Linked DNA regions of Tribolium castaneum. The protein of the gene in region 1 interacts with the protein of each later gene in a pairwise test. Links are inferred from orthologs where the notes say so. Each region holds a gene or a part of one and is shown in the gene's direction. Other genes may lie near its edges. The genes, in order: BRCA1-associated protein and Hmg-2.

Region 1 (4,262 bases):
GATGAAAACTAATTTTTATTCGAAAAATGTTGCTAAGATTGGCTAAAAAATTAGCAAATTCTATCGAAACTGATGTTTATTTTTGAGATTTTACTCAAAAAATGTAAAGTTTTGTTACGTAAAATTAAATTACGAAAAAAAAATAGTTGAAAAAAACACAAAGCTTGATTGAAATTTTTGTTATTTCGTTCGTTTATACCGATTTTTTTGTGAAATCTTGCTTAAATTGACCAAAGATTCTTAAATTAAGTCAAAAAAAACACAATTTTTAAGTCAAAACTATTTTTATTCGAAAAGTTTTGCTAATATTGACACAAAGATAAGTTAAAATTGATGTTATTCTACTTACTTCACCCGATTTAACTCGTTTTTTTTACCGAATTTCGTCAAAAATAAGAAAAAAAAATCTAATTTGTTCAAAATTTTGTACTTTTTTACCATTTTAAGTTTCAGTTTTTCAAAATGAAGCGTAAAGTTGTGTTTTTGTCGCTTTCCTTTGACTGTTTAAGAACATTTTTGACTTAGAAATGTAGTTATTTGTGAGATTTCGCTGTGGAATTTAATATTTTGAGTTGGCAACGCTGCAGCAACACTTTAAATTTAACTGTTAATTTTATAATTTTTAGCCGGTCCGCCGCACGAGCCTTATCCCCCCTCCCGAAAAAAATGTCACGTGGCAAGAATACATAAATTCGGAGGTGAATTCTTATCCTCGCCTTGGCCGCGACCTAGTTTACAAAGAGACAACAAAAGCCTTCAAGGCCACGATAGCCATGGTACTATTATAATTTTATTTACCAAAAAATTGGTACAATAATAATTTTATATAGAGTTCGGACTTTCCCCTCTCGGTGGAAATGCTACTAAACGTCCTCGAGGTCATCGCCCCCTTCAAACACTTTTCCAAGCTGCGTGACTTCATCACATTCAAACTCCCGACGGGTTTCCCCGTCAAAGTCGAGATTCCCATCTTGCCGACAGTGACTGCAAAAATCACATTCCAGCAGTTCGAGTTTCGGAACAACATACCGAAAGAGTTGTTCGAAACTCCCAAAAACTATAAAGAGGATCCGACCAGGTGATGGCGCCTCTTAAATAATAATAATAATAATGATTTTTTGCAGATTTCCCGATTTATGACGTCCTGAATTGTTGAATTCGTTCGAAATAACTTATACTAAAAAACCAGTGTTCCTCCTGCCGTACGACAGACGTCTCCTGGCCAAGGCGAAGTTTGTCGGTAAATTAAGAAAATCAAAGGAGTCGGGAGGGGGGCAGAGCCCCACCGTGTGCGTGGAAGTCCCGATGCTGTTCACGCTCGGCAGCATCTACTCGACTAGCTGTCTAGTCTATCTGGAATAAATTTCGATTCGTTTTCTCTCCAAAAGCAGGGTATTTGTTTTATTCTAGGTTTTAACACGGAAATTTGTTGTGTTTTTCGTTGAATCGTTGTTACTTGTGTATTCATGTTGGATGTTTAGTGTTTGCCGGCACCGACATATCAGGAAAGGAAGATTTCTACTTATTTATTCGTTAGGTCGCAAATGTCAATTACAGAACAAGACTAATTTACCACAGGCTGACGTATTATTTATGCTTACTAATCATCGCCATTACTTGTATTTATTACATTAACAGTAGGTAATTGTTCCATTTTCGCAATAAAATGTTTAATTTTGTGGACGCGTCTTTCATTCCAATTTCCCTCAATCACCCTATATATTAGTGTCACTCAAATGGCGCCACTGTTGCAACAATAATACCCCGTTGTATACCAAATTTTGGTGCAAAATTCACGCGAAATGTCCGAATTGGTCTCCAAATGCGTCCTTCGGGTGGAAGTGAACGACCCGAGCGCTGGTAAGGCTCGCAATTCACCTAACCTCACTAATTGCGTCGTTTGAAGATGGGGGTGCTGAGGCCTCAAGTGAGCCGAAAACGGGGCGCAAATCGCGCGATATCAGCGTGGAGACGTTCCCCAGCCGCTTGGAGAGCCCTCGGGAGGACTGGGGCCTCCTCCCGGTGTGCTCCCGCGAGACCACCCCCTTGGAGCCCGAAGACCCCAAAAGCGAAATTGGGTTTTTCAGCGGCAATCCCTTTGTCGAAATTACGAAAGGAATCTTGCATTTATATAAAGAAGAGTAGGTTTTTTGTATTTAATTGAGAAAATTAATTATTGGGGAAAAAGTGTTTTAAGTGATAGGAAGGAGGCGTTGACGCTTTGTCTGCTAGGGGTGCCAACCTCAATGACCTGTCATGACCTATTGGCGTTCACAGCCCCCTGTCACGCCGACATTGCCCACATTCGGGTGCTCCGGGACTCCTTACCCAACCAGTACATGGCTCTGTTAACGTGAGTGCCCCCTTGACCTAGTCACTGAGCCTGGCCCCCAGTTTTAGGACGCACGACTCGGCTATGGAGTTTTACGTCACGTTTAATGGGGGCCCCTTTAACAGTCTGGAACCGGATAATATCTGCCGGATCGTTTGGGTGTCGCGCGTGGAGTGGGCCCACGATGGGGTGCCCCCGCCCGGCCACACCGAGCTCCCCATTTGCCCCGTCTGTCTCGGTAAACCCCCCAAAGCCAATTGAAAAAATTAAATATTTATTTATTAGAGCGCATGGATGAGTCAGTTGACGGTGTTTTGACGATTTTGTGCAATCACGCGTTCCACGCCAACTGTCTGGAGCAGTGGGGCGATTCCACGTGCCCTGTGTGCCGTTGTGTCCAAAGCCCCGAACAGGCGGCAAGTTCCGAATGTGAACAGTGCGGAAAAGTGGCCCAATCAGCCGACGCACTTTGGATTTGTCTTATCTGTGGTCACGTGGGCTGTGGGCGGTACCAAGGGGGCCATGCGGCGCTCCATTACCGCGAATCGGGGCACTGTTACGCCCTCCAATTGGGGTCCCACCGCGTGTGGGACTACAAAGGCGATAATTTCGTACATAGGTTACTTCAGAATAAGGCAGATGGGAAACTGGTGCCTTCGGAAGGCCCCCCTTCCGAGGCGGAGTGCGCGCAAGAGAAAGTCGATTCAGTGCAACTCGAATTCACCTATTTGTTAACCTCGCAGTTGGAGGAGCAACGCTTGTATTTCGAGGATAAATTAGCACAGTTAGGGCCCCCTTGTCGTGGGTTTTATGTCACTTATTATTGTTTGCAGACTTGATAGTATTTATTACGCCGAAAATTCGGAACTTAAGGCAGAGGTGCTCGAATTAAGCGAGAAAAATAGCCAACTTAAAACGGACATAGCTAATTTGACCAAGGAAAAGTTGGCTTTGGAGCGAAAAATCGCCCAACAGAGCGTCAAGTGGCTGCCAACCTGACCCAAACAACGTCACTAATTATTGTTTCTTTAGGTTAAACGCGACTTTAAATGATCTGAACGAGGAAAAACAGCTGGGGAAAGCCTTGCGCAACAATCAGCAACAATGGCAAACCAAGTTGGGTGAATTACAGGCTGAGAAAGACACCATGGCAAAGGAAATAACCGAATTGAGGGAACAAGTCCGTGACTTGATGTTTTTTATTGACGCTAAACAAGTCGGTATTTCGTTCGTTAATTAATTAAATAATTGTTAACGTTCAAGGTCATTGAAAAATCGGACGATCGCGATGACATTGCCGGCGGTACGATCACAGTGGGCGCCGAGCCGGCGAAAAATAAACGAAAAGGCAAGAAAAAGCGTTAATTGTCTCATGTGATTGTTAATTTAAGTGTAATTAAATATTTGCAAAATCAATTTGGTGTTTTTGTCGCGGTGCGGTTGGTGGTTGTTTTGTTTACCAGTCAGCGATACCAACCGCCATAGTAACCTAAAATGAGTCAGTGATAAAAATCGGGGCGCAAGATGGGGAACCACCACGGACACGGCCCCCATAGCAAGTCGGGCGACTCCACGCCTACGTCCAACGGCTCGCGCAAAAGCATCTCGCGGACGGTCTCCAACCACGAAATCCAGGCCGACAAGCCGAGCGCACTTCTACCCGTGGAGAAGCTAACCAAAGTGAGTTTTACACCCAATAAACCACCCCCGTGTGGCTTTGCCCCGCAAAAACGCAAATTAGTGATAGGTTATTAAATTACAAGCCGTCATGTTGGTAGTGGCATTTGAGGTTAGGCGCCATTTTGAATTCAAATTGCAGATTTTGGCCGACAAATCGTTTGAGGAGGAGCACATTACCGGCATTTCCCTCAATGTTTTCACCAAGTGTTTGTTCCCGCGGTACCCCGTCTTGGCCGAGAAGCTCTACACG
Region 2 (3,936 bases), on another chromosome or scaffold:
ATAGTATCTGTTTAAAAGAAAATGCTTTTTAGAAATACTATTGGAAAGATTGAAATCAAAACAGGTAGTCTGGTGAAAATAAATGAAAAATTGGCCACTTTTTTATTAAATTTTAAGGAAAAAAACAGTACAGGTGTTCCACTTATTCATCTGATAAACCTACTTCAAATTTAACACGGACAACTGAACAAATAAACACAAAATTTGAAAAAAAGAAACTGAAGAACGAAACAAAATATGAAGTTAATTAATGATGTTTTTGGAGTTTTTTGCTCCCACGCACAATTGATTCTCTATTGAAACTAGCGTGAAATGTGGGTTTAGATGAGCGTTTTTGTAAACAATTGTTACACCTGTTGATAATCTTCGCGAGTGATTTTAATGTAAAATTGAGAAACCTCTCGCTGACTAATCCCTTTATGCAATATGTTTGCGTTGGTGTTTTCGAAGGCGAAATATTTGCCGCCAAAAGCTGCCGTTTTCCGAAAATAGCCCCTAAAAGTGTTATTTATACCTTTAGGTGTAATTCCGGATGGATGGCTATGGTGCAAGTCCAGGTAGAAAGCCGAAATCGCTCACTTTTCCCGAATCTGCATACCTGCGCCCCTTTATCACAGAGATAAATAATCCGCCAAAGTTGCCTCTACTTTACATAAACCCCCGAGTGGTCGGTGTTCAAGACATTCATTAGCGCATCGGTGTATTTTTAAATGGCACGGGGGTGCCGAAATTAGCGTCAGACTTAAATATACAGATCAATACACATGTCATTCATTTACACATTCATAAATTAATCCAAAATAAATAGCCTTCACAGCAGCTGCCAAAACTCGAGCAGGAAGATAACCTAACTTAACGCCAAGGCCTTGCACACTTACCCGACCACAACCAACACTCTATAATCCATGGGGGCACCCGTGCTTCATACCATCACACAAAAAAAAACAAAAACTGCACAAAGGAGACGAATTTCTACAAAAAACGCGATTTTCAAACACGACAAAAAAACGCCTTGTGACCGACAAACGCCACAAAAAACGCGCTTTTTCCTACTTACAAGCACCCGGAATTTTACTTTCGTAACACAATGCCTCAATAACACAACTTTTTGGAACCTATCGTTTGGTTTCCAAACCCAAAATTTAGGGAGTTTCGAAGTTGGCGACAATGCCAGTCAATTCTGACGTTACCCGCACCCGCCACCTACCAATCGAGCCACAAACCCGGTACAGGAACCTGCAAAATGGCAAAGTAACGCGCGTTTTATTGTTAATTTCGCCCAATTGGCCCGACTTTTAATTGAATTAAATGGGGCGGTTCGGCGCGTTTGGCCCTTTGGAGCGCTCGTGGCCCCCCAAAACAAATGAAACATTGACAGTTACAAACAACTGTCACGTTGGTTAGCATCTTCCCAACCGGACGTAAAATGGAAAACAGCGAGGAAGTGGCTAATGTCCCGCCGGAAAATGGTAAGAAGCCCCCCAAAGCCTCCACGTCCAACGACGAGAAGGCCCCCGACAGCTCCGACAACACGACGCAGCAGAAGCCCAAAGTGGCCAAAGCCAAGAAACGGAAGAAACCGAAAGACAGCACGGCCCCACGGCACCCGCTGACCGGTGAGTGTTTCAGTTCGAGGGGCGTCCAGAGGTGTCTTACGGGGGTTGTAGGGTATGTGCGGTACTTGAATGACAGACGGGAGACCGTGCGGAGCGCCAACCCCACCTTGTCGTTCGCCGAAATCACGAAAATGCTGGCAAATGAATGGACGAATTTGCCGGCGGATAAAAAACAACAGTATTTGGATGCTGCAGAGCAAGACAGGGAGCGGTACACGCGGGAATACAATGCCTATAAGCAGACGGAAGCTTATAAATTATTCACGCAGCAACAGAATGAGAAAAAAATGAAGGAGAGCAAGGAGGAGAGCAAGGTGAGTTGCTAAGGGGGCGCGTGTTGCAGCAAAGACGTGGCGGGCCAAAACCGTACATGCGGCTCGTGTCTTAATAACCATGCAATTACAACTGCATACACTATTTAAAAAAAATACAGTTTTTAAAAATGTCAGTTTTATTTTTAATGTCAGACTACTGTCACTCGTAATAATTGCATCGTGGCACATTGCCATTGGTTACAAGTTGTCACGTGGTTGTCATAATGCACTTCGATTGGTCACAAATTTTGAACGTAATGAAAAATCTGTAGAAGTAGAAAAAAAGTGATATGTAATCACAGAGATTTAACAGGGTGTTCCAAGTCTTTTGGCCCTAGCAAAAATAAGTATTTCTAGTTGATTGAATACACTAAAAACGTCCATAATTTTTTATTAGAAAAAAATTAAACCATATATCTTGAAGATTACAAAAAACTACAAAATTGTATTGTACGGTTTTGGTGATGCGCTTTCTGTTTGTGCCCGCACCCGGTAATTGTCGGAAGGAAGCCCCCGAAATTTCTATTTTCAGAGCTCCGTTCAGCCGGTCATCAACAAGGAAATCCCCGATATGGATTTCGGTAATTTCGACATCCCCATCTTCACGGAGGAGTTTCTCGATCACAACAAAATGCGAGACTCGGAACTGCGCCAGTTGCGTAAATCGAACACAGATTATGAGCAACAAAACGCAATTTTGCAAAAACATATCGAGAATATGAAGGACGCCATTGCCAAGCTCGAGTCTGAAATCTCGCAGCAGGAGAAAAATAACGCGTCTTTGCAAAAACATTTGGATCATTTAAGGGGCACGTTAACCAATGGTTTTTCCGGTGTGAAGCTCCCAGGGGTCAAAGAAGTCGCAACGCAGCAAAATATCGACTCGTACATGACAAATCTGCATTCGATTTTATTGGAGAACAGTAGTCATGACGCGAACCTTTTACATACTGTTAGGAATATTGTCGGGCGGCTTGAGTTCAACGGATGACAAACAAGTCGCGCTTCCAAGAGAAAACGAAAAGTTAAGAAGATCACGTAATTTTTTATATAGCAGTTTTATTTCACTTTCAGAGTGGGTTTTATGATTTGATTAGTTATGATGGTCCTGTGATTCATACGTTAGGTATTGTGTAATTACTACTAAGTATTTAGTAGTTCAATTAATTTAATGTATTTAATATTCCGTCAATAAATTTCGCAAGATATTTATGAAATCTGGTTTTATTTTTACTCCCATCACCAAAAAAAATATTGTAGCTAATTCCTTTGGAAATTGTTCTACTTTAATTATGTTTTAACAGGTAGTAAAAATTTTAAACATTTAATCTCCACAACAAAAAATAGAGCAAAAAATTATTGATTCTTAGATTGCTGACTTTTAATATTTTTTTTCTTCAGTTCTAATTATACATTTTTCTCATTTACATCCAAGGGAAATTGATGAATTATAAAAAAACAACTTTTGATCTCTACTGAGCTGAAAATAATATTTTACGCATTTTTTTAAGCACACTCCTTAAATTTTATTCTGTTTTGTTTAACTGCACGAATATTCAATAAATGCCGCAAGATATTTACGAAATTGTGTTTTATATTTTGTTAAATTGTTACCTCCGACATTATGAATCAATTTTTTGTGCTCCAAAAATAATTTTTCGGGTCAAAACGAAGAAAAATTCGTGTAAAAAATGTTTACGCGGCTCCGTTTAATTAACCCAAAGTGCATTTATGGACACGTTTGATGATTTATATCAGAAGCAGCACTACATGTTTTTGTGTCAAATTAATTGATTGCGTGTAGAAAACAATAATTAAAGTCGAGTTAAAGCGATATTAATATTTCCAACTATTCCATAGTTTGCACTTTCACGCCAAAAATCCTTTGATCGTTAATTAGCCGGGTGCACACATCATACAAGACGCAAAGTTTCTGGAAAATGAAGCGATAGGAGAAAATTGTGTGCGCTGAGCTCATTATTTATTATTATTATAACTGCTGGGTG

What was found.
Region 2: the proteins of BRCA1-associated protein (region 1) and Hmg-2 interact in a two-hybrid assay, tested with the Homo sapiens proteins (2 studies listed by BioGRID and IntAct). The link is inferred for Tribolium castaneum from reciprocal best matches to the Homo sapiens genes BRAP and HMG20A.

Annotation. Positions count from the first base shown.
Region 1 is NC_087401.1:15,927,640-15,931,901, reverse strand, and holds BRCA1-associated protein, read left to right. Parts: upstream 1-1,710; 5' UTR 1,711-1,802; coding exon 1,803-1,860; intron 1,861-1,906; coding exon 1,907-2,141; intron 2,142-2,188; coding exon 2,189-2,353; intron 2,354-2,394; coding exon 2,395-2,570; intron 2,571-2,617; coding exon 2,618-3,116; intron 3,117-3,165; coding exon 3,166-3,315; intron 3,316-3,364; coding exon 3,365-3,548; intron 3,549-3,595; coding exon 3,596-3,697; 3' UTR 3,698-3,748; downstream 3,749-4,262. Other genes in the region: ankyrin repeat domain-containing protein 13C, read left to right, coding at 627-776, 831-1,078, 1,125-1,140; uncharacterized protein LOC663019, read left to right, coding at 3,857-4,012, 4,152-4,262. UniProt on the Homo sapiens protein: Negatively regulates MAP kinase activation by limiting the formation of Raf/MEK complexes probably by inactivation of the KSR1 scaffold protein.
Region 2 is NC_087396.1:21,976,609-21,980,544, forward strand, and holds Hmg-2 (high mobility group protein 20A), read left to right. Parts: upstream 1-1,193; 5' UTR 1,194-1,426; coding exon 1,427-1,616; intron 1,617-1,667; coding exon 1,668-1,930; intron 1,931-2,462; coding exon 2,463-2,921; 3' UTR 2,922-3,147; downstream 3,148-3,936. UniProt on the Homo sapiens protein: Plays a role in neuronal differentiation as chromatin-associated protein. Acts as inhibitor of HMG20B. Overcomes the repressive effects of the neuronal silencer REST and induces the activation of neuronal-specific genes.